Oryzias latipes: one gene and its partners. The protein of the gene in region 3 interacts with the protein of the main gene of each other region in a biochemical or structural test. Links are inferred from orthologs where the notes say so. Each region holds a gene or a part of one and is shown on either strand. Other genes may lie near its edges.

Region 1 (4,749 bases), on a different chromosome or scaffold from region 3:
ACCAATTTTTCGTGGAGCTAGCTGTGATCGGCTAAACGCTTTCTTTAAACCTGCACAATGTGCACATCCATTTTTGCAAAAGTACAGATGGTTGGGTTTTTTTTCGGGGCGAAACGCAGACACGCTGCTGAGGCCGACTCTAGGATGATGTCATGAAATGGGCGGCACCCACAAGGAGAGAAAGGCGGAGCCTCAGAGATCGAGTCGTCTTACTTCTGGGTTGGAAAATTAGCAGCGAAAAGAAATTGTATCTCAAAGAAAATCTTTCTTTAGTGTTTTAAAGGTAATATATTATCATATATGGAAATATCTTTTTCTGAAAGTTAATTCTATTAAGAAAAGCAAGATATAGACCCTTTAACTGTTGACTGAATTGTCCTTTAGATGCGAGTGTGTGTAGTTCTCTATGTGGTCCTCGTGATAGACTAACAAATAGGGGTGTAACCACTGATCCACTTAATCAATGAATCGATTTAAATTCTTACAGTCCAACCAGATCGATCTGTCTGAGGCAAGTTGTTGATCGAAACGACCGAGACCATTATAGAATGGTTTCAAAATGAAATGAATATATCTACAATCAATCCTGGACCATTTAGATTGAGTTACAGTACGTTTAGTTTACTATATCGTGAAAACGACCATCACGGCGGACAACACACACGTGATGTCAGCAAAACCTGTGTGGAAAGACTTTGAATAAAGTCATATGACCATCCAGTGTCTATAATGTTCTAAGAATGTTCCCTTTGGATTCTTTGGATGTGGAAAAACAACAGTGGGCTGAACTTTAGGAAACCAAAATGTGAATGGATTTGACATTCATTCTTGTTTACTTGTTTGTTTGGACACATATTTCATTTACACTTGATGATCTGGAAGAAATACAAGAATCTGGAAAACTGTTAAGTAGCAGGAATTTCTCTCTGAGTCTCACTGGTTGAACTTTTGGCTAAAGATGTCCTGGATCCATCTTTAGGTTTAGTGAATCGAATCGTTCAAAATGAACAAATATCGACTCTGAATCGTATCGTCAACCACTTATCATAATAGGAATCGATGGTTACTAGCAAACCATGCAGGGTGCACCCCACCCACACCCAGCAGTAGCTTGGATAGGCTCCAGCAACGCCATGACCCTGAACTGGAACAAGTGGGATTGGAAAATGGATGGATTTGATGAATCCATACTGTTTTCATGATCAGTTTTCGTCCATTTTTTTAAAGCTGTGCCTCATTTTTACACCTACATCATGATCAAAAATGTATACCGTATTTTCCGGACTATAAGTCGCTGCGGAGTATAAGTCGCACCAGCCCAAAAATGCATATAAAGTAGAAAAAAACACAGATAAGTCGCACTGGACTATAAGTCGCATTTTGACGGGAAATTTATTTGACAAAATCTGAGACCAAGAACTAATAACTTGAACAACCTCATATGACACAATCATAGCAGACTGTTTATCTCATAATTTCACAGTAATTCTTTCTCATACTTGTTTATTTATTCCTTTCATGAAGCATCATTGGCCAACTAATACTCTGTTTTCATCCTGTATTTGTAGAAACAGTTGTCATTTTTATTGCATTTCTGAATCTATGAAATCATTGGAAAATAGAATATTATGTTGTTAGCCTTCAAGATCTTACTGTAAAACAGGTTTGCTGATTCTCTGAGTCACTTAACATATTCTTAACACTTAACATACCTCATACATCAAATTGACCCGGGAACATCATCTCTGTTCCTCACAAATGAACATAACAGGAGGGTTAACAATGTATTTATTTCAATTTAGTTCTAATATAAGTCGCTGCGGAGTATAAGTCGCACCCCTTGCCAAACTATGAAAAAAAGGGTGACTTATAGTCCGGAAAATATGTTATTTGTGATGATGCTTGTTTTCCTCTGGAGGTCCTTCCTGTCTTTATGTTTGAAACAAATCTTTGTCATTCACATGAACATTCTGTTTCCAGTGACCTGTACAAAGGTCATGACCCTCTGGGTGTCTCGGGTGGTGCAGTGGGGACTCGGGTGTAACCCGCCCTCACCTGTGTATTCTCCTCTCCTGCAGGTCTGCCTCGTAGTAGCCATGCTTGCAGTCTTTTCCAACCAGTTCATGGGGGTGGGGCTTGTGCGGTGTGTTTTTGGTCACCAGGGAGATGCGAACTCTCAGCGGACCGTTGTAATTATTCACCTGACGAAAGAACACACAGCTGTAATGACATCCTCATCACACAGCTCAGAGCCTTTAAGCAGACGGGCTGATGGACGACATGCATTTACATTAAGGTAGAGGATTCCAGCCGCAGGTTTATCATATAACAGCATCAACCATCCAATCAAGCGTTCAGTCAGAGATCCTGAACTTTTATGATTTACCTACTGGAAAAAAAAAATATCTTGCACACCTATTAAAAACAAAGTCCCACTCTGATAATCTTTTCATCTCTTGTAAAGTCGTTCCAAGTGGTCCTTTAATGACGGGACAACTAGAAGCCCCTGTTGTTTTCTAGGACATAGTTTCTGCAGGAGGATATTGTGTTGTGGGCGGGACTGCTGTACCAACCCCGCTCCCCTCCCCCTCCCCATTGCTCAGAGCGTGGAGCAAAGCTCATAAGTTCTTTTTCAAACACAATTTTTTCATCTGCTCCTGATTCACAACAAGTTGAATAAAGAAATACTCAGAAATGCATTTTTAAGCTTATTTTATTATTTTATAATTATCTCATTTTAAGCATATGTGAAAAACACCAAAAACACAATTTTCACCAAAGTGGGTCTTTAAAGATGTTCTGCACAAACACAGACAGAAACGGTTCCTATCTGCACCCGCCCCTCCGGTAGAATCCAATATTTAAAAGAGGGGAGAAAATAGGTGGAAATGCTCCAACCGCATGGCAGCAGCTCAACACATCTAAGAATGTAGACGGGGTCAGTTTGACCCGCTGAAGTTCAGAGTGTAAACCAAAATGAGATAAAGGGACATTTCCTGACTTTGATTCTCAAAATATATTTGTTGATTTTTATCTTGATGTGATTCAGTTTCTGTGATGGGGAAAGAAAAAAAAAAAGATTTTGAAGGGACTGACAATTCTAATATTGTAAAATCTCTTTTTGTTTAGTTTGCAAACATTATCTATTGAATATAAGATCTCCTCCCAACCTCCTAGGGGGGATTTCTAACCCCAAGCTGGGGTCCTCTACCAGACACCTGGGAGCTTGAGGGTCCTGCGCAGCTACAACTGCGCTTTCCTGGACTGAGATGTCAGCGGTTTATCCGGGGATTTGCTGCAGCCGCTCCATCAGTTTGGAGGTTTCGATCGTCGCGGAGACCACTACTGTCCCCTTCCAAGAGTTTTATAACCAAACAAAATGGAAACTGGATTAGAAATGTTAGTCGTGTGTGGATTGTGAATCAAATCTTGCAGAGTAGTGAATCTGAAGTTCCTCCTTTTGGGAAACTGCCTTCATGGACTGTGACGCATTTGGATGCAAACCCAAAAGTCCTTTCCGGCGTTCTTGATCTGCAGTGGGTCACACAGATTTTTCTGCATCTTCTCCATCTGACTCTGGGCAATGCAGCCATAGTGGCTCATTCATTCATTCATCTTCTTAACCGTTTATTCCCTTTTGGGGTCACGGGGTTGCCGGAGCCTATCCCAGCCACTTGGGTGTAGGCAAGGGATGCCCTGGACTGGTCGCCAGTCTGTCGCAGGGTGGAATATCCTCAATCACACATCCATTCACTCTCACACTCACACCTATGGACAATTTACTATGGACGGTCCCAGCCGCAACTCAGAGCTGAATTTCTTATGAACTTCTGCCGCTCTGCTGAAACTATGTCCTAGAGAACGACACAGGTTTTTTAGATTTTTGGCTAAAACCAACATATCCATTAACCAGGAAACAAACTACAGCTTCACTCCATTCATGTTTTTTTGTCCAAATTCCTTACGTTTTTGCTTTATGTTCAGACGACTCTGTTGTGCTTTCTAACAGACCAAGGACCAATCCCAATTCTTCCCCTGCCCCTCCGTCTTCTCCCTACCCCTACATTTAGCCCTTTCCAAAAGAGTCAAACAGCAGAACTGACTTGATGACCAGAAAGAAGCATGTTCTCTGTGGTTGAACATCCTAAACAGCTTTTGTTTTTTATACTCCCACTCCGATCATCTTTGGATTCCCATTGGTCTCTTTAATTATGATTTTGCAGTTTTTAGCAAAACCGAACTAGTGATGCTGCTGTCTGGTTTTCCAGAAGCCCGCATTTCTGGTTTTTAGTAACCCACGCTTTCTGCCTCCTCAATGAGTGCACGTATGGGGCGTGCACGTGACACCCAAGTGCTGTAGGACGTCCACACAAACTACACTCTGATGTCCTCATTTCTGTCACACATGGAGCCGTCCACTTAGCACTAACGTTAGTGCCGTTTTGATGAAAAAGAAAAGTCTGTACAACATTCCTGCGTCTCACCAAGCGAGCTACTATCTCCACTTTTCCTTCAGACCACCCGCCTGGACTGTACAGGTATGACCATTTTTTTTGCCCACAGACAGCCTGTATCTACCCGTAAGCTCAGTGGCCTTGTGGTGGAGTGTCTGCCCCGTCACTGTTACGTCGTGAGTTCAAATCCAGGTCAAGTCATACCAAAGACTCTAAATAAATATGTCCCTGCTGGACACTCAGCATTAAGGGGTTGGGTCGCGGGGTTAAACCGAGCGTGGCTCAGCGCTCCCCC
Region 2 (4,749 bases), on a different chromosome or scaffold from region 3:
TCTCCTAGGGCCTCCCAGGTCATTCCCGACTCATCCTCCTCGTAGAACCTCACCTGGATGTCGTCTGCAGACGGATGCAGATGTTTGTGAGCTCAGAGTGGTCTTCATCTGCAGATGGAACCCTCCTCCTCTTCCTCACAGTTAAGTCCATGAGGATTCAAATCTTTACCAATCCAGCAAAGCTGCTCTGCTCGGTCACATGACCCTCCGCGCCAGCTGCAGTTTTCAGTTTTTCACCTGCGTGTTGAGAATGGTCTCTTACCTTTCTGGACTTTGTCGCAGAGCAGGTAGACCTCCTCCCCCCCCGTCACACAGCCAGCCGTCCGATCCATCCTCACGATCTTCAAGTTGGAGGCGTTTGGAGCCTCTGAGGGAGAAGCAAAGCGGCGCTGAAAGTCCAGCTTTTTCTTCATTATCGATGAAGGTCCCAGGATGATATTCATTAAGGTCCTCCTGGGATCTTAGCCGATCATCTCACTCAAGTTTAAGGTTGTTATTGAGGACCAGCTGAACTTTACAGAAAGCTGCTTCTTCCCTTCCCAGCATGCAGTTCTGTCTCCTCCAAAATCAGAAGATTAAACCTTCGGTTATCCTGGTTCACACTCTGGTAGCTGTCACTCCAGGAAACGCTTTGATTTGGGCAGAAATGCTGAAAACGTATGTTCATGTGGGGGCGCCATCCATACCCAGGACTAACCAGGTCTAACCAGGACTAACCAGGTCTAACCAGGACTAACCAGGTCAAACCAGGACAAACCAGGACTAACCAGGTCTAACCAGGTCTAACCAGGACTAACCAGGTCTAACCAGGACTAACCAGGTCTAACCAGGTCTAACCAGGACTAACCAGGTCTAACCAGGACTAATCAGGACTAACCAGGTCTAACCAGGACTAACCAGGTCTAACCAGGACTAACCAGGACTAACCAGGTCTAACCAGGACTAACCAGGTCTAACCAGGACTAACCAGGACTAACCAGGTCTAACCAGGACTAACCAGGTCTAACCAGGACTAACCAGGTCTAACCAGGACAAACCAGGACAAACCAGGACTAACCAAACCAAGACTAACCAGGACTAACCAGGACTAACCAGGTATAACCAGGTCTAACCAGGTCTAACCAGGACTAACCAGGACTAACCAGGTCTAACCAGGTCTAACCAGGACTAACCAGGTCTAACCAGGACTAACCAGGTCTAACCAGGACTAACCAGGTCTAACCAGGACTAACCAGGTTTAACCAGGTCTAACCAGGACTAACCAGGTCTAACCAGGACTAACCAGGTCTAACCAGGACTAATCAGGACTAACCAGGTCTAACCAGGACTAACCAGGACTAACCAGGAATAACCAGGTCTAACCAGGACTAACCAGGAATAACCAGGTCTAACCAGGTCTAACCAGCACTAACCAGGACTAGCCAGGTCTAACCAGGACTAACCAGGTCTAACCAGGACTAACCAGGACTAACCAGGAATAACCAGGTCTAACCAGGACTAACCAGGAATAACCAGGTCTAACCAGGACTAACCAGGTCTAACCAGGTCTAACCTGGACTAAACAGGACTAACCAGGTCTAACCAGGACTAACCAGGTCTAACCAAGACTAACCAGGTCTAACCAGGACTAACCAGGTCTAACCAGGACTAACCAGGAATAACCAGGTCTAACCAGGTCTAAACAGCACTAACCAGGACTAACCAGGTCTAACCAAGACTAACCAGGTCTAACCAGGACTAACCAGGTCTAACCAGGACTAATCAGGACTAACCAGGACTAGGACTAATCAGGTCTAACCAGGACTAACCAGGTCTAACCAGGACTAGGACTAATCAGGTCTAACCAGGACTAACCAGGACTAAACAGGTCTAACCAGGACTAACCAGGACTAACCAGGACTAATCAGGACTAACCAGGACTAAACCGGTCTAACCAGGACTAACCAGGTCTAACCAGGACTAACCAGGTCTAACCAGGACTAGCCAGGTCTAACCAGGACTAACCAGGTCTAACCAGGACTAACCAGGTCTAACCAGGACTAACCAGGTCTAACCAGGACTAACCAGGTCTAACCAGGACTAGGACTAATCAGGTCTAACCAGGACTAACCAGGTCTAACCAGGACTAACCAGGACTAACCAGGTCTAACCAGGACTAATCAGGTCTAACCAGGACTAATCAGGTCTAACCAGGACTAACCAGGACTAACCAGGACTAACCAGGTCTAACCAGGTCTATCCTGGACTAAACAGGACTAACCAGGTCTAACCAGGACTAACCAGGTCTAACCAAGACTAACCAGGTCTAACCAGGACTAACCAGGTCTAACCAGGTCTAACCAGCACTAACCAGGACTAACCAAGACTAACCAGGTCTAACCAGGACTAACCAGGTCTAACCAGGACTAACCAGGTCTAACCAGGACTAGGACTAATCAGGTCTAACCAGGACTAACCAGGTCTAACCAGGACTAGGACTAATCAGGTCTAACCAGGACTAACCAGGACTAAACAGGTCTAACCAGGACTAACCAGGACTAACCAGGACTAATCAGGACTAACCAGGACTAAACAGGTCTAACCAGGACTAACCAGGACTAACCAGGACTAACCAGGTCTAACCAAGACTAACCAGGTCTAACCAGGACTAACCAGGTCTAACCAGGACTAGGACTAATCAGGTCTAACCAGGACTAACCAGGTCTAACCAGGACTAGGACTAATCAGGTCTAACCAGGACTAACCAGGACTAAACAGGTCTAACCAGGACTAACCAGGTCTAACCAGGTCTAACCAGGACTAACCAGGACTAACCAGGACTAACCAGGTCTAACCAAGACTAACCAGGTCTAACCAGGACTAACCAGGTCTAACCAGGACTAGGACTAATCAGGTCTAACCAGGACTAACCAGGACTCTAACTTGTCCTCAGATTCTGACATGTGAAGGAGCTCCTGCTGCTCCTCCCTGCCCCCCCCCCTACCCAGCAGACCCTAAACATCGTTAGATTCCCGCTCTCTCCCTTCGCTCCGGATGAGTGGATTGAAACTCACTGCTGTCAAAGATCGGCTCGGACACCACAGGTTCCAGTCGTCGGGTAAAGCCCCCGTCGCTGTCGGGGAGGAACGCCGTAAACATGAGGCGAACCACACTGAGGTCCATCTCCTTGGCCTGGCTGGCCGCTGCACTGCTGATCACACAGCGCTGATGGTCTGAGGACACACAGATGGGAACCATGAAAATGCAATATCACAGGAGTAGTTTTACCTTACTGCCGTACTGCAACAAAGATTTCAGGAGAAAATCCTTTTTTTTTTTAGAATTTTTCATGTAAGCAAGGATCATAATTACAAAAACTTCTAGCTCAAAATGAACTTATGCTGCAGTATCTAAGCTTTCCCACAGGACTAATTGTCACCTACTTTTACTAATTAACAGTTTTATCTAGTTCATCGTTGCACCATTTGTACTAAATGTTCAGCTACTTCACAGAAGAGCTCTGTTTAGGGGTTACGAGAATCAAAGGTGGGACCTGTAGACCCGAAACCTTCACTGACCGCTGAGCTCTCGCGGGACGCGGACCTCCCCCTGCACGGCGTCGATCTCTGGATGGATGGAGATGCTGCAGTTGTAGCCCATCCTGAACGCTTCAATCATTCTCTCCTCAAGAGTCTTGGCCACGTTCTTCTTGGTCACATGGAGGATCCCCAGGTTAGGAAAACTAACAGGAAACATACGTGAGCGTCATTGGTTTAACACGTTCAGGCCGACGGCATAAGGCGCACACCTGATGGTGGCTTCTTTGGACTGCAGGTCGGCGATGCAAATTCCTTTATCGCACTGTTTCCCCACCAGACTGTGAGCGTGAAGCTGTGGGCTGGAGGTCAGCGCCGTCACCAACTGGACCACCACCCGAGCCTGGCCCTGATAGTTGAAGATCTGAAACACAGAACACTAAAAGTGTCATGTCTGACAAAAATAGAGCTGAGGAAAAGACCAAACGGTCACCTGTATGATGAACAATACTGACATCTGAGCTAACAAGACGCTAAAAAGTTTAGAGAAAACCACAGTACTGTAGATGTTTCCATGATAGAAAACCCCTAGATTACAGCATCACACACAGAAAGGCGAAGAAATCTGCTCCCACTTAACCTGAGGTTAAAATTCAATTCAATAGTGAGGGAAAACTCTCCCCAATGTTTCATAGTAGAAGGTAAAACACAGTCCACTGCACCTGGTAGGTCTTTTATCAGAACACTACTCATCTCTTCTTCCTAAGGTTTTCTGAGTTCTTAAACACAACTCAGACAGAGTGGGAATGCACCTGTGGAGACTGCACTAAAGACAAGGGGCCTTCTATAGGTTAGTATGATAAACTAACCAAGTCTGAGCGGTTTCAGATCCTTTTATGAGGAGGGGGGGTTGGGGCAGTTAGTTACAGACTGATGTACGGGTGTAGAAGGATGGATTGCTGTAGACCAGGGGGGTCAAGCTCATTTTCACTGAGGGCCACATCAGCATAGCGGCTGTCCTCAAAGGGCCAGATGTAACTTATACATGTAACTAAATGTAATGAAAAATAAATGTAACTACTCCTTAATGGTAAATAACTCTTTATTTATTATAACTTTTTAAAGTGACAATTACATAGAGAGATATGTTAGCTTGTTACTTTAGCATAAATCCTTTTACATTTGATTCTGTCAGGTTAGGTTATATGGACAGTCAGTGTTTAAGTCCTAATGT
Region 3 (4,749 bases):
AGTGTTCGAATGTCCAGCTTCAAATGGACTTACATCTGCTGTAAGCTGTCTCTGGGGGTCAGAAGAGGCGGCACCGATGAAGGAGTACGCAGTCCATCAGGACTCCCACTGACCGGGCTTCTGACTTTGCTCTGCACAATAAACAACGGTGCATTTTACTGCATGTTTTTTCACAAAGTGCATTTGCCCTTTAGGCAAAGCATACGTGACATTAATGTTGAGGTCTTTGTGCGTTCACATGTCCTCACACAGGCCACTTTGAGCAGGTTCCACAGCTCCTTCTGTCGCCTCTCCTGCAGGCTCATCAGGATCTGTTCGCTCTCCGCCATCTTCTGGACCACGCCCTCCACCTTTGGTAGGAGCTCCATCACACGCTGGCGACACACCGCAGTCTTACTGCGAAACACACAGGGCCGGGTGACAAAAGAGAACATAAAAATCACGCCATATTTTTAAAATCAAAAAAATTTGTGTACAATTATTTATAAATATGTATATCTATATCTATCCATCTCTAACTGAAATGCACTGGATACAAAGGTATACGAGTTAGAGGCCAGCAGTCATTACTAAATCGTAAAAAATGAATAAATGAGGCCATTAGTTGAATCTCAACAACAAAACATGCAACGCTCCATATGTTGAAACCTTGTTTTACACATATTCATGATTTAATTTAACAACATCCTGTCTTTGGGTACCTGAGGTGTGTATAGAAATCTTTGAGCTTCCTCTCGTAGACCTGCACAGCCTGCAGGACCAGACGCATCACCTCCTGACCGTCTCCTGCACATCTCTGGTCTGAGCAGAGGGAATAAAGCGGGAGGAGAGGAAAAAAAAAAGGAAGAAAAAAAAAAACGAGACAAATTACAGGAGTTCTATTTTGCTCTCACCACGACCAGGGTTTAAATAAGGCGCGAGGTGATGCGTGGAAAAGGTCTAACCTCTGGGTTTTTCTCTGAGTTTTCGGAACAGCTCCATGGCTTTTCCTTCGCTGAGGATCAAAGAGAGAGGAGGCTCAAAGCCCAGCTGGTCCTTAAATTTTTCCATCTCTCGGGTTGAGACTTACAGCGTATCCAAGGCCTCTCCACACCTCCACGGCTGCCTCTGCACATCAACGATGTCTGGCTGCAGCTGCATCATCTCGTCCTCCAGTTCAGACACTTTTGCCTGGTGACCACACTGGCTTTTTAAAGAATGGAAATACTTGCTTGACATGCTTATTGTGGTCCGCTCAGGCCTACCTGACCACAGCTGACAGCCGTTTGCTCCATCTCCCTCCACACACTCATAAGCTTCTCTGACGCTGTGAAAAATAGAAAGTCGCAGTAAAACTGAAACACCTGGATCGAGTTGTTTCAGGTAATACAAATATAAACCATACATATAACTTATTATAGTCCCACTCTGATCATCTTTTCAAAGCATTGCCAGTGTTTTTTTTTTTTTTTTTTAATGATTTTATCGTTTTTAGCCATTCTGTAAAACATAGTTTCTGCAGAGTGGCAGTAGTTCATTAGAAATTTACCTCTGAGCAAATTTCCCCCAACACATCTTCATTTGGTAAGAAACATAATGCAATACCTAAATTTAGAAAAAATTACATTTTTATTGAGACAGCAAGAAAACCTTTTTTATGAAACATGGCAACCATTTATTGCTGAGAGCTCGGCCTGCCCACCATATATTTTACATGTCAAATAAACGTTTTTTCAAATGGCATTTTTTTGTCTGCTCTTAATTTCCAATGATTTAGATAATGAAATACTCAGAAAAGACATTTTAAGGACAATTTTCTTAATATATGTCCTCCATCATGAGAAAAATGCCAAAGGAACATGATGAAAACACCAAAAACATGATTTTGCCCAACATTTCTCGACATTTTTCTTGCACTGGTAATGTTAGGTGGGGGTTGTGAGGGGCTGAGCATGTCCGCAAAGGCATGATGGGAAATCTGCGTAGGGCTTACTCCCCACCTACAACTCGGAGGCAAATTTCTAATAAACTATTGCCACTCTGCAGAAACTATGTCCTAGAAAACAACGCAGGTTTTTGATTTGGGCTAAAAACGGCATCAACCTAATTAAAAGACCACTGGGAACTCTTTGAAAATAGATCAAATGATGATCGCAGTGGGTGTTTAAAACTTCATCCAATGAACACATACCAATCCCTGTGGCTGTCTGCTCCTGGTATTTGTCCATGTCGATGTGAAGGCTGGTGGTGAAGAACTCCAACTTGGCAGTAAGTCTTTGGTGCATGGAAACCATCTCATTCTTCTGTTTGGACAGTGAGGAGTTGTGTCTCAGCAGGCTCATGCTGGAAGAAAAAAAAACCTTTTTTAATAAAAAAAACAACAACCTTTAGCTAGTTTTTGGATGAAACTTGAGTCCGTGCGTGTCTCACATGGCAGCTTTCTGGCCCTGCTGCAGCCTTTGCCAGTCCTCCTTCAGGGAGCGGATGGTGTGCCACGCCTGACCACACGTCCTCCTCAGAGGGCTGTAAGGAAGGACGTGCTTGGGGTCCATTTCTGCAGAAAAAATGAGAGGTCAACAAAGAGAGTCAAGGACAAAAAAAAAGATCCACACCATAAACATTTATTTATCAGCAGGGTCCATAGTAATGAAAACGTTTTTCTCTTAAAAAACACAAAAGTTGGTAAAGGGTTATAAAATATAATTGTTTAAAAATACGTAGACCCCTTTATATGTTAGTCTGTAAAATAAAATAAAAAAATAGGCATTACAGAGTGAGAACTAAGACAACTCTGGACATTTTGTGAAACAATTAAATAATCAGTTAATAACAAATTCAAGAGTTAGAAGTTAACAAATGAACACAAATCTGTGTACAAATTGTATTTCTATGATACCTACACATCCTTAAGCTAAATATATTTCCCTTTTGCTAAAAATTGAGAGGATGCAGCCTTTTGGCCTTTTTTAAAAACTGTTTTATCATGAAAACAACATTTCAATAAAACAATCTATTAAAACAATAAAAGCTCTTTTGACGTCTGCAATGTTCCCAAACTGAAAGGTAACGCCACACATGTCCAGTCAGCTTTTATGGGTCAACATTGACTTTTAAGATACTTTTTCGTTTGCCTGTTTATCAAAACTTCACATTTCTTATGTAAGTTGTGAAAACTGCCCCGTCAGAGCTAAACAAGAGAGGAAGAACTTGGATAACTTCAGGTTGAAATCAGCCACTTCTCTCTTCCAAACTAAACCACATGTTTTGTTTTCTGTGCAGCTTCATGGCTCTGTGGTGAGAGTGGGTGTAAGAGTCCAGGTGCTAAACTGGCTTGACTCAATGAAAATATTTAGTCCCATATGAAAATAAGGAGGTTTAACTAAGTGACCAGATGATTTTTTTCCCCCTAAAAGTGCAATCACTGGACTTCTTGGTGCCAAATCTCTTGGAGTGATATAATTCTGGTGAAACTAAATAAAATCAACCCTTTACATTTTTTTTAACATATACTTCAAAAGTGTTAAGTAAAATCATTTCATGACATATTTATAAATGTATTTAACGATGAGACACTAACACAGGAGTGATAAATATCTGTTTTGAAATTTCTTGCTAAGTTTGCACCAAAGCACTTTTCTGATTGAAAAACATAAACTGGACTTAAAAGTTTCTTAAAAAAACGTTATAAAAAAACATTAAAAGGAAGAAGTTTGAATGTTTTAACGTTAAAGGTGCGAGGGACATTGCATGGTCCGCAGGCGCTACCCTCCCTCGCCGCCCCCTTGACCCCACCTCACTGGCTGAACGGTTGCAGCATGCCCCCTTAGTCTCCATTTCTGCCAAACTGGTCAAAGCCTCATGTGACAAATTCATTAAGAAAACAACTTTTTTTTAAATGTTCTATTGGTTTCCATAGGAACCATTTTATTTTTTTGTCGCCTGAGGCCTATGCCATTTTTAGAAGAATCTGCAAAAGTAAATTTTTGGATTTCTTTGGCGACAGAGGTTATTTCTTAAGCAACCCCACAATCCTAATATGCTCATATTGTATATCGTTGCGTTCAGTTTGAGATAACGACTCCTTCATTACATTTTCACAATATTCTGGTAAAAACATGTGCGAGCAACAGGGGAACGCCATTTTTGGGAGCTTGCCGCGCTAATGGCCTTCAAAATCTGCAACATTTTTTTCCAAATAGCTTCCCGATGATGCTCCAGGAGTTAAGATGCGATAGAAGGAGGTGTAATTTGTAGCTGGTGGTAAATTGTTTTTTTTAATTCAAAAAGTCAAAAGTCAACAAAACTAGTTGTAGACTTAAAAGCTGGCGGTGTATGTGAAATTTTGTGAAGGTCATTCAAACAAAAGTTTTCTTTTCCAATATTGTGTGAAAACTTCACGCTTTGCAAGAAAATGGCCACTGGCTCCGGTGGTCATCTTATAATAATTTCCAAACTTCCTTTGGAAATCTTCAACACGTGTTGTTTGATTTCATTAATAGATTTAAAACTTTTTTTTTAACCCATTAATAGATGTTCCCCATTACTTTTTTTGACGGATTTTCCCGCCGTGATGTCACCATTGGGATCCACTTTGCCAAATTAATTTTCACCAGGTAGGGCACTGTGTGCAAATTTTGGTGAGTTTTTTTAGTTTTTTCAGCCAAAGGTGCAATAAGAAAGAAGAATTGTAAAAACAATTCTGGTCTTTGAAGTCCAGGACTCCCAAACTGAAATGGCAGAACTGTTTCAAGGAAGAAGATTTTAAGTGCA
Region 4 (5,451 bases), on a different chromosome or scaffold from region 3:
TAATAATAATAATAATTGCTTTGAACAATAGCGCAAATACTTTATATTTAAATTTACTATAAACAACAAAGGAAATAGACACTTCATGGGTGCTAAAAGCTATTTGTAGTGATTACATAAACAAAAATGCAATGCCAAGTTCATTTATAGGCCACCTAATGTTTACCATAATATGTATAATCTGCAGTAAAAAAAGGAAAGCAACAAATTTAAAGGCTTACCTGTCTCGAGTAGCTTTGGCCAGTTTGTCCTCTGACTTCCTGTCATGCGTGTCCAACCCGAGCATGAAGCTTCCTCTGCCCAGCTGAGCCTCCGACTGCTCCAGTTTCTCCGACAGGTCAAACACCTGACCCGTGGTGTAGTCCGAGTTCTGGCCGTCCAAGAGACAGAATAAACCAATGTACGCACACTTATCACACAAAAGCCAGATAACAGAGTGTTCCATAGAAAGAACTTGTTACAGACTAGCCACAAATCGAACCATCTCTGAGCTGTCCCGAAGGAAAAGAAGTCATGGAGAAGTTTGCTTAAGGTGAGGCTGTGTTTATAGTAGAGCAGGTAATTAAAACACAATGCCATGGGGGGGGCCTGACTAGGGTGACAGTGTAGCAACTGACAAAGCCCGTCACCTACTGAGCAGCTCCTTCTTGACATCTAGTCAATACATCTTCATCCAGAATGCCAGCGAGTGAACTGTTTAGATAAGCCTGGTGTCTATTTAACCCAGCTCAGGACCACAATGCAAATTCATGTGACGGCCTTTCAGTCTTTAGAAAAAACTGTGCTCGAGGGGCGGGGGGCTTCTGGATGAGTGGAGTCAAGTCCAACTTTAATACCCATCATCTTCTTCTGCTCCAAAGTTCACAAAGACCTTATTACTAAAAACAATAAACAAGCAGGGCCAGCTAAAAAGCAGCAATAAATCAACACATCACAACATGTTGACTCCATGTCTGAATGAGTTATAGAGTAATAATTAACCATAAATCAAAATGTCAAACAATTAGTGAACATTTTGAGTTTTGAGGTGGCTTACATACCGTAAGAAGGCTGGAGGAACTTAAGGTATTGACCCAATATTTGTTCCAAAGGAGTTCCAGGAGCTTTCGATCCAGAGAAGACTTGAAGTAAGTCACCTCCAAGGCGTAATATCTGAATAGAGACAATCATAAAGAGTTGAAAAAAAAGATAATTCAGGAGCATGTTAAATATATGCATCTTTGATACATAAAGTTTTGATAAATAAAGTTTGATTGATTGATTTATTAAGAGTGGTTTAGTGCTTTAAATTTACTCACTGTTTACAATGAACACCAAAGTCTTCTATCTTGTTCAGCGGGATTGTTTGATATTCTGATGGTCCTTCATCTGGAGGTTTGTAACCCTGAAAATCCACAAGGAAAATGTTAAAAAATAATACAAAATAAAAAAAAAGAATTAGCACATTTGTTTAATCATTAACAAGTAAACAAATTAAGACATTCTGATGTATATTTATGACAAATATTTATTCAGATCCCTCCTAAAAAAACTAACATCAACGATTCGAACTTAAAATTTAATTTATGACTTCAATAAGTCATAACACCATGTTTCTCTTGGTCTTTGCTGTACCTTTGGGTATGTTCTGAAGGCACCTAGATTGACTTTCCCTGCAGAAATAGTCCGAGTGGGGTCGATCTGTAGGACACAAGATACAGTAAAACAGGAAAACAAAGTCAAAGGTCGGAATCCTCCAGAGACCACTGGAATCAGTTCACTAGGAGCCTTTTTCCCGCAGCTGTCAGTGTGAAAAAAACACACACTTAATTATACGACGCCCCTGGCGTCGAAGCCCTGCTGAACTAAAGGACGTGTAAATAGCATATGGGGTTGCAAAAGGAAAATAGTCAGTAGTGCAATGCCAAAACATGCAGTGAATGCATTAATAGATTTTCATTTACGTTCTTGTAATGTTTTTTTTTTAAAGACGAAACAGGAACTTTCCTCCTCATTTTTTAAAAATTCCACTAGCAGGAAATTACATTAAAATAACGTTATAAAAGTTTATACGTACAACAACAGCAACAAAAGGCTCCTGAAACTGCTGGTTGAGCATCTGAGTGCTCACGTCGATCCCTGACAGCCAGCATCCGTAACCCGGGTGACTGTGGTACCAGCCAATGGCATTCTCCAAACGGCCAACCTGGGGGGTTAAAAAGATAAATATAACAAAATTATTCATAATTATTTATAATACAATATTATAAAGTGTTTATTGTTTAATACAATGAAAAGGTTTTACTAAATCTGACGTGGCTTGCTTAGTTTCTAAAAAATACGGAAACTATTTATGAAAGGAAATAGACAGACTTCAATAGGTCAGTCGGGGATAGAAGTTATTTTTAAGCTTTTAAAAACAAAAAAATGAATATTATAAATGCTCTGCTATCCCCAAAGATAACTGGAAACAGCGGGACAGCAACTCAAGAAAATCCAGGCTGGACTTATTCCGGCTACCTGTAGCCCACCAAAAAAAAAAAAAGAAGAACAGTCATAACGACAATAGAAACTAAATAAAAGATTAGAACACTTCAATAGACATATTGACATACTGAACACAGAACCTATGACTAATAAATCTTAATAAGAGACAGTTTTTCAACAATTCCACCAGGAACTGTGTAATCTGTCAAGAAGAAGTAATTGCTGCTGTGTCATTTCAGTGTTGGTGTATGTTTTTACAATAAAATAACATGATCCCACCTGTTTGGCGTTTTCAATGTAGGCAGCCATGTATTCGTATGCTGCAGCCTGCGCGTTCACCCTGGTTTCTGTTCCCTCCACAGGCAAAGCGAAGCTGTCCATGATGATCATGGTCTCCCCGTCCACCTTCCCCAGCATGAGACCCATCACCTCCAGGTTCCCCCCTGACCTGGCATGCATCACCATCTTCAGCAGGGCCAACGCGGAGATTTTGCAGTACTTGAAGTAGTGGTGACTAATGATTTGAGAAAAAGAAAACACAATTAGTTTACGCGACACAACAAATAGGAATGAAGTCAATCAGGTTGAAAGTACTCTTTTGTCCACGGCTTCGCCGCGAGGATTTCTTGTTGTTGTTTTTTGTCGTATTTGTAAATTTCATCGATGCTCTGGACTTCCTGCATGCTGTTCGACAGCTCCCACGTTTTCTGAGCTGTACTACTTCCAGCCATGATAAAGTGTCAATTCAAAATACGAAGAATAAGCGTTTCGAACGTCAGTGACAACAACACAAACAAAGAAATTGTGTATATCCGTCTAAAGTAACAGGGCCAGACGTTCTCTTGCAACGGCAGCCATGACAGGGAACGATACCAAAACAATGACGTCGAAAGATTGAACCTTTCTTTGTTGATTTGGAAAAATACAAAAGTCGAAGTTTCGTATCTTTATGTATTAAAATGGATCATTAATAATATATTGAAAAAATCAATACAATTTATGTAAGAGTTAAAAGTTCTGCTAAATGTACCCATCAATTCTGGTACTGTCACCCCTCTGATAATGGTTTAGTCCAAAAGAGACGTCAGCAGACACTTGAGGATGCACTGGCATCTAGCGGTGAGACTTGTAAAAAGCAGACAGGTTTGAGAATATTTTTTATCCTGTTTTTAGAACTTTGTTTTTTATTTAATGCATTGTATATCTAATAAAGACCCTAATGGGAGATAACAGTTATTAATGCTGCAAAAAAAAAAACTTCTCGAAAAAACACATTAGCGAACGTCATTGGTCAAGAGTAAAGGTAAAACATCAATGTTACTTCGTGTTTGTCATCTTATAAAGCTTAGAAAGCACGTTTAGGATTTTCAAAGATATTTTTATTGAAATGCGATTAAGTTTGTATGATTACCACATAAACTTTAGATATACGGAGTTTTTTGTGGTTTCGTGTTTGCTAACTTCTTTAGCCTGTGCCAACCTTTGTGTCACGGTTGCCCATAGCAACGCTTGCTGCGTTGCCATTTTAGTGCGGCGAAAACATTCAGAATAGTCATAAAAATGTCTAATTAATTAAGTATGTATCCTTTAGAGTTAGAGTTTCATCTAAGGTTTCATTTTTATAGCTTTGTTCACTGCCAGGTTGTGCTGTTTGAGTTTATAATGGAAAACACCTAACTTTCAATTTGCATGCACCTGTATGCTGAGAAAGTTCTTGAATCTGACCTTGGACAACTAACTTTCTGTATGAATGTTTTTCATCATTTGCAGGTGATGTGCATTTTGTAAAACTCTAGCATCCACAAAATATGGAACCATATAGCTTATCATAAACAAGATGAAGTATTTGTGGTAGTTTTAATTTTCAATCAGTCCAATTATACTGGCTATTTATTTGCTATGTTTTTCTCTCTCTCTAGGTTTTAACTGAGGCTTAGTATCAGAGCGTGAAATGGAGGAACAGAAACCTCTTCTGGATCTGCGGCTGGACTTCAAATATCATGCAGCCAAGGTCAGATATCATACGATTATTATAGGATCATTTAAAGAGAATTTTTGTTGACTGTGTTACCTCTGATTCTCCATTCTGCCAACTTATTTTTCTATTTTTTATTCTTACATGTACCTTTTAAGGAACACGATTTAAAAACCTGTGAACCTCATCCACAACACCAAGGGCTTTCCTTACCTATTGATGATAGAGCATCCATAAAGGTGTGTCCTTGTGTGCACTATTTTTTTTTTTATATTGCCTTGTTCATACCTTTTATTTATTTATTTTGGGGTTTTTTTGCAACAGAAAAGACTGAGAGACGAGCTGAAAAAGGAATATAATCAATTTCTTCAGGAGCAAGCTCAAATAAGGAAATTAAATAGGAGAGTCCTTCCTGTCACCTTTAAGGTAAAATCCAAGCTAACAAAGATATTTTTCCCAATATACAGGTTACCTGATAAAGAAATTGGTCTTGTTATTTGTGCTGTATAGCTGTGGTAGCTCTATTTAATATTATTTCTTTCAGCCTGAAGAAAGTCAACCATCCAAGGTTGTGAACTCAACTGGTGAAAATCATCACCTCTTGATTAAACCCAACACAAACACAGACAGGGAGCACACTGCATCCAGGACGGACGCTGCCACCCTGACTGAGGATGCAGGAGAAAGAAGCACAGGGACTCCAGGCCCACAGTCACGGAGGAGGTGGAACATCCCTAAAGCAAAAGGACGTCAAGGTTCTGAAGACGGAGAGAACACCGATGAAAGGGATGGTTTAGGTTGTCAGACAGAGAAGATCCGGATACCAGAAGAGCCTAAAAGCTCAGAGGTGGAGCTGAACACAGATAAAGGGGATCAAATTGATTTCAAAGCAAGGAGGAGACAAAACAGAAGCACCCAAGTTAGTGAGCACAGAGTGAACAGGTGTCTAATTATCTTCATAGGGATTTTAAACTATTGTTAATCTGGACTTGCTTTTAAGAGGAATTTGT
Region 5 (4,688 bases), on a different chromosome or scaffold from region 3:
TCACCTGAGCACAGGTGTTAGCTCACCTTTGCACTAATAGTTTGCATGATTGAATGAATGAAAGATTTCACACTAGTTGGTTTAAAGGCATAGGTATGCGTTCGTGAACACTATCTGTTTTGTGTGCATGTTGACATGTGGACATTTTTGCGGCTAGCAGGTGTGTTGATAATATTTGAGTGTGTGTGAACAGGCCCCGCCCTTTTTGTACTACATTTGAACCGTACCGTAACGATAAACAACCAGTAAACCTGTCTGCTCTATGCTGCTTCATGGTCTTACCCCCCTTCCCCTCCTATTATCACCCTCCTACCCCCCCCTCTCTCTAACGTCCCTCTCTCTTCTTCCCCTCTTTCCTTTTCCGTCCGGTCCAACACCAAAGATTTTCAAACATGATTGAAATTAATAAAGTTTGGCCTCAATTACAAAAGGGGTTTATTCAGACATACCTTTGGTTTGTCTGAAGATGAATAACCCCTCTTGTTAAAATAAAATATGTCCAACACAAGAGGCCCTCAGCTCTCATCTGTTTGCCTAGCTGTTGGACAGGACAAGTTAAAAAAAAAAAATAAATAAATAAAACAATAAAAAAAAAACATTTTGAACAATGATGCAAAAACTGCAGCTGGAGTTTTATGACTTGCTGCCGTTTCAAAGATTTGGGCACTAAAAGGTTAAACCGAAGAAAATCAGAGCAAAGGATTTCAGATTTAGAAGACCCGACCAAAAGTCTCCACTGTTGTAACCTGATAGTTCTGTCATAGTGTCAGACTCAGTAGCACTGCCACCTATTGTCCGATCCCTACTCAACCGCTGGAGGCCAATCACAGCCTTTCCTGCATCATCTGCTGGTTTTGGGGATGCACCTCTGTTCTCTTGACACGCTGTGAGGCCCCTCCCACCTCATTTGCATAGCATTTTAAAGAAAAGTTAGCAGAATTGAACAGCCATCTATATTCTGAAAAGGAATTCCAACAACTGACTAAGGAGATTTGTGGGACTGTCAGGAATGTTCAACATTTCTTATTTTGCCTTGAAAATTTTCTGGTTTATCTCTATTAGCCACAGCTTTCCTTCTATTTGCTGTTGCTCTTTTGGTTGTTGTTGCTTGTAGGTTTTGTCATTTTTCTATACATCCTTTGTGTTTAGCACCTTGTGGACTAAGGCCTGTTGATGAGAAGAGCTCTACAAACACAGGGATTGAAGAATTAAGTGATGAAACATCCTTTTCCACCGACCAACAGCTGTTAAAGGTTTAGGACTCCCACATGGTGGCGCTAGTCTTCCTACATAGTTGTCATCTTTGCACGTGTGCAGAACATTTCACTTCTCTATTGCTGAGGACATGTGGAGGATCAAGACAAAAGGCCAAACTTCAGCGTTCATGAAGCAGAAACAGCTTTTGAATCAGCAAAAATGTACAGAACTGGGCTTTACAGTGCAGCTGAGCAGAGCTTGAATGCACCTCTATGCTGCTTTTATTCACACTAAACACACCAGGATCACATCTTGTAATGCAAAGAACCACACGTCTGATCCCAGCATCCAGGTCACGTCCAGAAGATGGGGGCGGGGCCAACAGCTGGGGGATGCAGCGTCTTTGGCTCAGACCGAACCCTGTCTGAACCTGAAACATTCACGCGGTGTGGGAGCAGCAGGACATTCACCCCACAGGTGAGCCTCGGCTGCAGTCAGTCCGCACCTCCATCGCCTACGATGCGCTCGCAGGCGGAGGAGCGCCAACGCCAGGTCACCAACCGGGCCGTACAGTCCAGACTCCTCAAGTTTTCTTTTAAAACCAAAAAGTTTAAATAGCAATAAAAGTCGTCTAAACGTAGTAACTGTGCAAAAACAACAGAGTTGGATCTAAAGCTGGTGAGAAACATGATGATCATCTAAAAGAATGTCGTCACCTCCGTCGGGTATGAAGAAGGAAAGTCTCCGTAGCTCCTCTGTCAGACATGATCCGACCTGAACTTCAGCCGACCGCTAAGGCAACATGTGAACTAAAAGGAGAGCTGAGCAGATCCTCCAGCAGATTCAGGGATAAAACATCTACACACAAAAATCTACAGGGCGGTTAAACCAGGAGGGGCTGTGAGGATGGTGGGGAACTGGTTTTCATGTGAACTTCACGTCCCAGAGAGGCTGTGAGGAAGTGCAAACTCCTTTGAGAAGTCTTCCTGGAGGGGCTCTGGATGGAGCCAGGCCGGGGGGGGGGGGTAGTGTTGAGAGTGCAGGGGGGAGGGGAGTGGGCGTGTCTCCGTTTCATCAGGAAGTGCCCTGCCTCTTCTGCTGCTGCACCCGGATCAGCTCCAGCTGCTTCTTGCACTTCTGGTAGTAGGTGGACAGACTCTTGTTCTCCTCCAGCAGCTTCTTGTGCTCCTGCACCAGACGGGACGTGTTCTGCTGGTCCTTCTCGTCTTGGTCCAGTTCAGCGATGAGCTCCTTCCTGCTCAAGACACAAACAAACCGCCATGAGACTTCCTGAGACTTTGGAAAGTCCCCTTTTCTTCTGAATAAAAACTCTGTAGGGGATCCGCCGTCGGCTGGATGAAGCTCGTCTGCTGGACTTTAAATGTGTAGTTGTAGATTTAGATAAGTAAATTCTTCTCTTTGAGTTCTGGTAAATCGCCTGTCCGTCCTGGGGGAGGATCCCTCCTTCATGTGGACACCCCTGAGGTTTCTTCGTTTTTCCGGAATCCGGTTTTTTGGGAGTTTTTCCTTACCGCGAAGGGGGGTCTAAGGGCAGGGATGCCAGTATAGTTTAGTCAGTTTGTTAGTTCATTTTAGTATTTTGCTATTGAACTCTTTGTATTCGTGATCCTTTTGAGTTCATGTTTCACTTAAGCCCATCGAGACGACTGTTGTTGTGATTTTGGGCTATACAAATAAAATTGAATTGAATTGAATTGAATCGGAGGACTTCATCCACCAAATCAGTGGCCCCCAAATCCAGACCGTGAGGGCCGGTGTCCTGCTGGTTTTCCAGAAACCCTGCCTTATTTGCTGCTGACTACCTTGATACCTTGTTTAGCCAATATGGAGCTTCAATGGCAGGTTGGTTAGAAAACATGTAGGAGAGGTCTGGATTTGGGGACCCCTGCACTAAATGCTTAAAGCTCTGGACACACCAGGCATGTGAAAATGTGGGTTTTCACATTGGACAAGCAGGGAGGGGCTTCTTCTTTATCGTTTTCTCTTTTTTTTACTAACACTTGTCCACCACCTACAGTTGGAAGAGGCTTGATGTGGAATGTAGAAGCGGAGCAAATGTCCTGACTCTTCCTCCAGGCTTTTTCTTTCACAGCTCTATTCCAATATATGAAAGATTTGGCTTAGTTTCACTCCAGCAAATATTAATTTATCCTCCATGATCAATTTTTAAACTGAAAATTCAAGAAACTGAAAAGTCCCCATACATAGGTTACTACCACGTCTGACAAATTCAACCTAGTTTAGTTTTCAGCGCTTGTTCAATGGCCACGTGTTTTGTATGATGAGCCCAAAACCGGTCGTAGAAACATTTGAGCTGCGTGCAAATGCACAAGTTTTGAACGCAGAACGCAGAAACGCACATTTCCATAGATTTTTCATGAACATAGTTTAAGACCTATGGTTGAGATAATAATCAAAGTAACTTGTTACAAATGTTCTTGTTTCATATCTCCTTCTAAATATTTGTAGGATTCAGGGCTCCAGACTGCGAGCAATTGGTCGCATTTTGCGACCAAAATTTGAGAGTGTGCGACTAAATTTTACATCCAGTCGCACATGTGCGAGCAGTAAATTTGCCTCCCCCACCCTTCGTATTTTTTTATACATTAAACGTGGAAGGGGCACGTCAATGATCTATGAAATAATCAATGAGACGCGAGCGCACACGCACGCAGGCAGGCACACACACTCGCGCACATACTCATGAAACGCAAGCACGAACACTCTCGCGTGATGCCTGTGTGTTAGGCGGCCACTGCGTCTGAGAAGAATAGGAAAAGTCACTGTGAGTGGCTAAAATGCGTGTAGGGGGAGGGGCCTAGAGCTGACCAACCAATCACAGTGGGGTATATGACTCTTGGGGGCGTGGCAATGACAGGGTTTTGCAAGCAGGAAACCTGACAGCCCCCTCCCCGGACCACATTAAGGAGTTCTTTACTTTCCTTTCTAGAACGTATCTATTCGCTCGTAATTTTCTAAATACATGCAGTCCGTGCTGAACTTTTCTCTGGGTCACACAGATCCGGAGGAAGGTTTAGGTTTTGGTTACGGTTACGGCGGCGCATCATACGGGTTACGGCAGCACACCGCTCCCGTCCCGCGGGAGTCGGGTCAGCTGAGGAGAATAAATGCCCCCGACGTACATGCGTGACAGCTAACGGGGCTTGAACTTTAAACACGCTCGAGCAAAAACAACATTAGTTTTAGACACACTGAAAATACGTGGGGAAAATGCAACGATAGACGTGTTTGAGATGAACCAGCACCTCGCCTGGATCGTTGGGGAGACCAGGCGGGGGGGGGCTGTGAGATGAAAGCGAATCTGCAGCAAGACTGAAGGAGAACAGGAAATTGGAGCTGTCCTTAACATTCAATTTAGATTTAATATTCTTCTCCCCCTTAGTATGATCTGTGTTATTATATATTTTATGATTATTTGAATGTTTTGTAATGTATGTAGCCTTTTTTAA
Region 6 (5,396 bases), on a different chromosome or scaffold from region 3:
GATGACCTCGACAGCACGGTTCGGGAACAGATTTTAGTCCCCGATGAGGTGGGACGCTCTCTGATTGACTCCTCTGTCTGTGTGCTGGTGAAGATCCAGTGACTCAGCAGCACAAAATCTGCATGTATTTGTGTGTTATTTTATATATATATATATATATATATATATATATATATATATATATATATATATATATATATATATATATATAATATATATATATATATATATATATATATATAATATATATATATATATATATATATATATATATATATAAAAATATAAATAAAACTATATATATAGATAGATAGATATAGATGTGTGTGTGTGTGTGGTTATTATACGTGTGTGTGATACATGTCCCCTGCTCAAAGTCACGTCTGGGTCCTTCAGAGTCAGACGATCCAGATCTGAATTCGGTCTCTCCTTTATGACATCATATTTGCAGGCCAGGAAATTCCATGCTGCTTACTGGCACAGGAATTCAAAGGAGTTTGTCATCAATTCAGGGGTCTTTTTGGAGAGGAACTAAGTATTGATGAGTTACAGGAAGTTGCTTAGTTAATACTGAACTTCACTGTTTGCATATACTGCGATGCATGACACATCCTGCAAGTTCCTCATGCATCCAAAAACAATTGAAGCTACACTTTGAGATGGAATACATCAAGAAACCCCTGACATGAAACAGAACTATTTCCCTTGGAAACTTCACATTGTGAAGAAAAATTAACCAATTCATTTTCCATTTCCTCCTTTTGTTGTGTGCATTAACTGTGATTATACCAGTAAATATATGTCTTTTTAAACCTTACATCACATCAGACTGTCACAACAGACATCTTCAGGTTATATGTGAGGCAGAAAGCAATGCCTCCCAGCAGAAAATTTGTATTCAGTCACATTTGAGTGACCGCAGTCTGACAAGGGGGGTGAAACATGTGACAGAGACTGGATGGAAACATGGGGCGTGGAGGCATTTTAAAAAGATTCATTGACCTTCACACCCCTCACAGAGACACCCCCACTTGCACACACCCACAGAAAAAGCAGGGGATAAACCCCTCAACTTTTAAAAAATGGAAACACTCATTGCTGACCGTAAACAATAGTGCAGCGTGATGAATTTCCAAGTACAATGCGTCAAGGCCCCAAAGTAAATGTTTGTCTGCCTCGGGATGTTCCCACATTACAGCTCCTACGTAACAGAAAACATGACCCAAAGGAGCCGGTGTGAAAGTGGAACCCATGCACCTCGGTTGATGTCATTTACAGTAACCCCTCTTGTGAGTAATGACATCTCAGAATGTGCATATCAGATCCTCCTATCTCATGAACACAAACCTTCTCTGACATAGAAAATGAAACAAAAGTTAACGCCTCTGTGGGGGGATGACATCTGTTGTTTCTAAAATTGACACAAAAAAGTTTTGAACTAACAAAGGACCACAGGGTTTGTGTTTTCAAAAATCCAACCAACTTTGTGGATCTTTGCCTAAACATACTGCCCAAAATTTCTTCTCGGAAGTAGCATTTCTTACCGTTGGTGCGTAAAGGTACCATCTTCTTCAACTCCCGACACCAGTTGAGCTTCTTCTCCTGCTCTAACGAGGCCTGCATGGCTCGGTCCAAGATGGCGGCTTGAACTACCTCCCTGAAGGCCTGAGGAAAGTGGTTCATGGCGATCATCTCTAGCGTGTAGCGGTGCATTCCGCGCAGGTGATGCATGAGGCCGCTGGTGGAAGGCTTCACCACATCATTGGGCACTCGCTGGCGGATCTTCACCGCCTTCAGCAGGTTAGAGACAAACAGGAATTTGGGGAGGAAGTTCTGGCCCTGCGACATGACGGATGGCCAGGAGAATGGGTGGAGGGGAGGAAAAGGAGTGAGGAGAGGAGGAGGAAGCACCAGCCGACGATGACCCAGCAACTTGCAGGCTAGAGACACAGAGAGGTAAAACAAAATAAGTGATCTTACAACCCTAAACAACATCACAGGCTCCAAACCTAGATTTCACCTAGTATTTAATTTTCCTCAGGAAACCACCAATCACAGTAAAGGGTTCCTTTGTGGATCAAGTTAGGTGATTCTCCAAAAGGGTCGAACTTACGTACAAAGAAACCTTTATCTCCTGGTGTGTTCTAATACTGTGTTTTTCACTTTGACTGGTTTTTCATTGATCTCAAAGCTTTCCAACAAAAGACTGGTGTTTTCCAGAGTTACACTGCAGGCCACCCAATATCGCTAGGGCTTCTGGGAAGGTCACGAGACAGGCTTTCCCCTCCTGTCAACACCTTACCAGCTGTTAGCTTGCGTCAAACGTGTATTTAAAAGATTGCCAGGACTCAATATTTGTTAAAACGTTTTTTTCTGTACTTTATACATTCAAATAAAGTTTATTAGAGATTGTTGTAAAAAATTAGAGCTCAAAAGTCACGTGAAGGTGGTACAGAGGGTCTAGTTGAGCAGTTTGGGCTAAAATGAGAACTTTCCCAGCCTATTCATGAAGTTCTGAGCTGATAGTGAAACCAGTAAGTTGACAAATGAATGTCAGGCTTCAACAGCAGCAGGTGCAACAGCAGGGAAGGCCGTGCAGGAGCGCCGGTGACCGCGGTGCCGTGCTGCTGTGTCTGGGCTGGACGTCAGGGAGCCCGTGGACCCGCGGGTCGTCTCGGCATGAGCGGTGCGGGAGAGCGGCGCCCGCACGGTCGCGGCAGACTTCGCTGACGTTCGAGGCTTACGTAATTACAACGACAACTCCAATGGAAACAATGTGCCGTTCCAGACCGACAAGAAGCCGCTGCCAGCGGCACCGACGGCGCATTCGGTGGCGCGGAAGCGTCGCCCAGCCGCTTCACGGTGACGTCTTTGTAAACAATGGCTGTCAACGCCGCTGTCGTGAGCAGGCTTCACGCTTCCTCCATGTCCCCACAACCACGACCGTACATTTCCTCGAGGCCCGAGCGGGGATTCAGCCGCTTAATCTCCCGGAATTGTGCAGAAATGCCTACATGTGGAGGCAGAAGGAGGAGTTGGGGCTGGCGTCTTACCTGTGCAATATGTCGGGGTAACAACAAAGCCTCCCGGATGCTCAAGCAAGTCCTCTCTCAGCCACTTTACTCAGCCTCACCGCAGCAGTCTTCGGCGCCATTCACCCTTCTGTTTCCTCCAACAGCCTATCAGATCTATTTCGGAACCTTTGATGCTCGCGAAGCCTTTCGAAAGACTACAGGCGTCCACTAACACTAGTTTTTAAAAAAGGAAAAAAAAGAAAAAGAAGAAGTTAGGGGGATTTCCACACAGGGACTTTCCGTCCACCCATTTCCCTCTCTGTAAAAAAAAACGTGCACTTGCGGCACTTTGCCGCTAGGAGGGGCTCCACTGTCTGACTCAGTACCGTGAAACATATCCCACCTACTGAGCACAAAGAAGCGTCACTGAGGTAGACAGACAGGTCGCGTCATCCTCGATTTCATGAAATAAATCATTACCCCTCAGTCAGACCTCTCCAAGTTAAAAAGCCAGGAAACGGAACAAAAAACACATTCTGAGAAGCAGATGTCCCCTTTCTCACGAGTTGAGCATAAAATAGTCTTTCAGTGATGACGTGAGACTGTTTCAACTGTTTGGAAATTATGTTTTTCTATTCTTTTGCCGCTTTAGAAGCAAAAACGTTACTCCTGCTGTCATGCAGTAGTAACTTAAAAATATATTCAGTTTTCTCCTTTTAAAAAAAAGTTTTATGCACAATTTAAATCATATTCATTTTATTTTGTGCACATAAGAGACCAAACACAAGATCCTAATAAATACAAAGCTGCAAGAATGTAACCAGTTAGTGCAATAAACAAAACATCTAATCATGAGTGTGTCCTACGCACCACCTCAATATTTTTGTTTTTTGAGGTATTTTGCTCCAACAACTCTTAGCACCACGGTCTGCACAAGAATGTGTTTTTTTCCCACTTAATTGGCTGGTTGTATAACTTTATTTTATTTTATTTTTCCTTCACCTCAATTTTTTGCACATTTTTCCTTTTTTTAACCTATATGTTTCTTATTTGACCTTAAATTTGGATTTATACACAAATTTAGAAAAAGATGCCAGCAAAATATGCTTACTTGCAGCTTAAAAAAAACATGCTGCAACCTCAGAGTCTACACATCCCTGAACCAAATGTCACACCTGTCGTTTGTGGAGATTGTCAAGCTCTCAATGGCTAGGGCATCAGCTGCGTGGTGGAGCACACCAACCGTCTCAATGTGGTCAACCCAAGTAGGAGCGGTTAAACTTTGCTCCAGCTCTCAAGCAGAGTTTGCTGATGTTGCACATGATTCACCCTGTATTTATTGTGCAAGAAGATTCTCTGCTATTGTCTGCAGGGTTTGTGAAATATCAAACAGCCCCACAAGAAAATTAATTTTTTTATTCATTCTTGCTGATGTCTTAAAGCAGAAAACCCAACTTTAAATCAAATCCAGTACAAGATAGTATTTATATGACACATCATGTAAAAAAATGCAAACAAAATAAAGTCTTTACAAAACAATGTATTTTAAGTTGTTAATTATTCAACAACTAGATTAGAGACATGGGTAAACTACCATACAAAAGAAGAAAATTAACACAAATTGAAAAAAATACAACATCTTGGATTTTACTTACCTGTGGGAACAGGTGTAAAAGTTATGATCTCCACTGTGGAGAAATATACAGATGAAGCTTTGGGTCCTGTTTACCTGAGCAAAGCTTATAAAACTGTACTGAGATGCCCCTCACTTTCCACTCTCCTTTCTCTTCCCTTTGGAAATGCTCCTACTTCTGGGTTGTGTTTACCCAAACTCTGGAAACTACACTTCAACATCCCTCTTGAGCAGGGAACAGAAACTTAAAATCACCTGACACATAGGTGTGAGGTATGAGGCATGAGGACAGAGTTACAGGCCTTATCTTTTACTGCTCAGTTGCTTAAGAGGTGACAAATAGTGTCTAGCAATGAACAGTCACTTTAAGACACTAACGCCTTGCTGTGAGTATTTGTTGAGCCCATGGATACACACACAAACAAAATATGTAGCAAACCTTTCACATGCTAATGCTGTAGTTGCTATTTTTAACTCAAATGACTGAACTTTCCAAAAACATTTTTTTTAAAGTTCATCATGGTTGGGTCACAAACTGGACTGGCTGGTTGTGGAAGCAATGAAAGAAAACTAGCTGAGTCACACGTGGAAACCCCCTCAAAGACAACTGACCTGCTGCAATGCAAAAAAATAAATAAAATAAAAAGTCACCTGTCTGGTGTGGTCAGATATGCTGAAAAAGGAACTTTGCCTTTTGACTTAGTGGTTGCAAAACAGTTCTCTCAATTTTGATTGGAAAATTAACAATA

Evidence for each region.
Region 1: of the proteins of ikbkb (region 3) and putative transcription factor p65 homolog, one has a biochemical effect on the other in vitro, tested with the Homo sapiens proteins (4 studies listed by BioGRID and IntAct). The link is inferred for Oryzias latipes from reciprocal best matches to the Homo sapiens genes IKBKB and RELA.
Region 2: of the proteins of ikbkb (region 3) and nfkb1, one has a biochemical effect on the other in vitro, tested with the Homo sapiens proteins (4 studies listed by BioGRID and IntAct). The link is inferred for Oryzias latipes from reciprocal best matches to the Homo sapiens genes IKBKB and NFKB1.
Region 4: of the proteins of ikbkb (region 3) and cops5, one has a biochemical effect on the other in vitro, tested with the Homo sapiens proteins (2 studies listed by BioGRID). The link is inferred for Oryzias latipes from reciprocal best matches to the Homo sapiens genes IKBKB and COPS5.
Region 5: of the proteins of ikbkb (region 3) and map3k7, one has a biochemical effect on the other in vitro, tested with the Homo sapiens proteins (5 studies listed by BioGRID). The link is inferred for Oryzias latipes from reciprocal best matches to the Homo sapiens genes IKBKB and MAP3K7.
Region 6: of the proteins of ikbkb (region 3) and tnfaip3, one has a biochemical effect on the other in vitro, tested with the Homo sapiens proteins (2 studies listed by BioGRID and IntAct). The link is inferred for Oryzias latipes from reciprocal best matches to the Homo sapiens genes IKBKB and TNFAIP3.

The regions. Positions count from the first base shown.
Region 1 is NC_019876.2:27,210,515-27,215,263, reverse strand, and holds part of putative transcription factor p65 homolog, read right to left. Parts: intron 2,202-4,749; coding exon 2,056-2,201; intron 1-2,055. UniProt on the Homo sapiens protein: NF-kappa-B is a pleiotropic transcription factor present in almost all cell types and is the endpoint of a series of signal transduction events that are initiated by a vast array of stimuli related to many biological processes such as inflammation, immunity, differentiation, cell growth, tumorigenesis and apoptosis.
Region 2 is NC_019868.2:30,853,400-30,858,148, reverse strand, and holds part of nfkb1 (nuclear factor NF-kappa-B p105 subunit), read right to left. Parts: intron 3,940-4,749; coding exon 3,788-3,939; intron 3,722-3,787; coding exon 3,558-3,721; intron 3,213-3,557; coding exon 3,054-3,212; intron 368-3,053; coding exon 263-367; intron 65-262; coding exon 1-64.
Region 3 is NC_019867.2:6,216,101-6,220,849, reverse strand, and holds part of ikbkb (inhibitor of nuclear factor kappa-B kinase subunit beta), read right to left. Parts: intron 2,534-4,749; coding exon 2,410-2,533; intron 2,323-2,409; coding exon 2,171-2,322; intron 1,307-2,170; coding exon 1,245-1,306; intron 1,171-1,244; coding exon 1,070-1,170; intron 995-1,069; coding exon 945-994; intron 802-944; coding exon 702-801; intron 397-701; coding exon 249-396; intron 132-248; coding exon 34-131; intron 1-33.
Region 4 is NC_019878.2:17,008,135-17,013,585, reverse strand, and holds the start of cops5 (COP9 signalosome complex subunit 5), read right to left. Parts: upstream 3,347-5,451; 5' UTR 3,198-3,346; coding exon 3,061-3,197; intron 2,981-3,060; coding exon 2,746-2,980; intron 2,186-2,745; coding exon 2,057-2,185; intron 1,681-2,056; coding exon 1,615-1,680; intron 1,385-1,614; coding exon 1,299-1,384; intron 1,153-1,298; coding exon 1,041-1,152; intron 371-1,040; coding exon 222-370; intron 1-221. Other genes in the region: cspp1 (centrosome and spindle pole-associated protein 1), read left to right, coding at 4,418-4,477, 4,600-4,680, 4,766-4,867, 4,986-5,383. UniProt on the Homo sapiens protein: Probable protease subunit of the COP9 signalosome complex (CSN), a complex involved in various cellular and developmental processes.
Region 5 is NC_019882.2:20,574,074-20,578,761, forward strand, and holds the end of map3k7 (mitogen-activated protein kinase kinase kinase 7), read right to left. Parts: intron 2,453-4,688; coding exon 2,272-2,452; 3' UTR 1,382-2,271; downstream 1-1,381. UniProt on the Homo sapiens protein: Serine/threonine kinase which acts as an essential component of the MAP kinase signal transduction pathway. Plays an important role in the cascades of cellular responses evoked by changes in the environment.
Region 6 is NC_019873.2:16,684,184-16,689,579, reverse strand, and holds the start of tnfaip3 (tumor necrosis factor alpha-induced protein 3), read right to left. Parts: upstream 3,394-5,396; 5' UTR 3,054-3,393; intron 1,941-3,053; 5' UTR 1,849-1,940; coding exon 1,545-1,848; intron 1-1,544. UniProt on the Homo sapiens protein: Ubiquitin-editing enzyme that contains both ubiquitin ligase and deubiquitinase activities.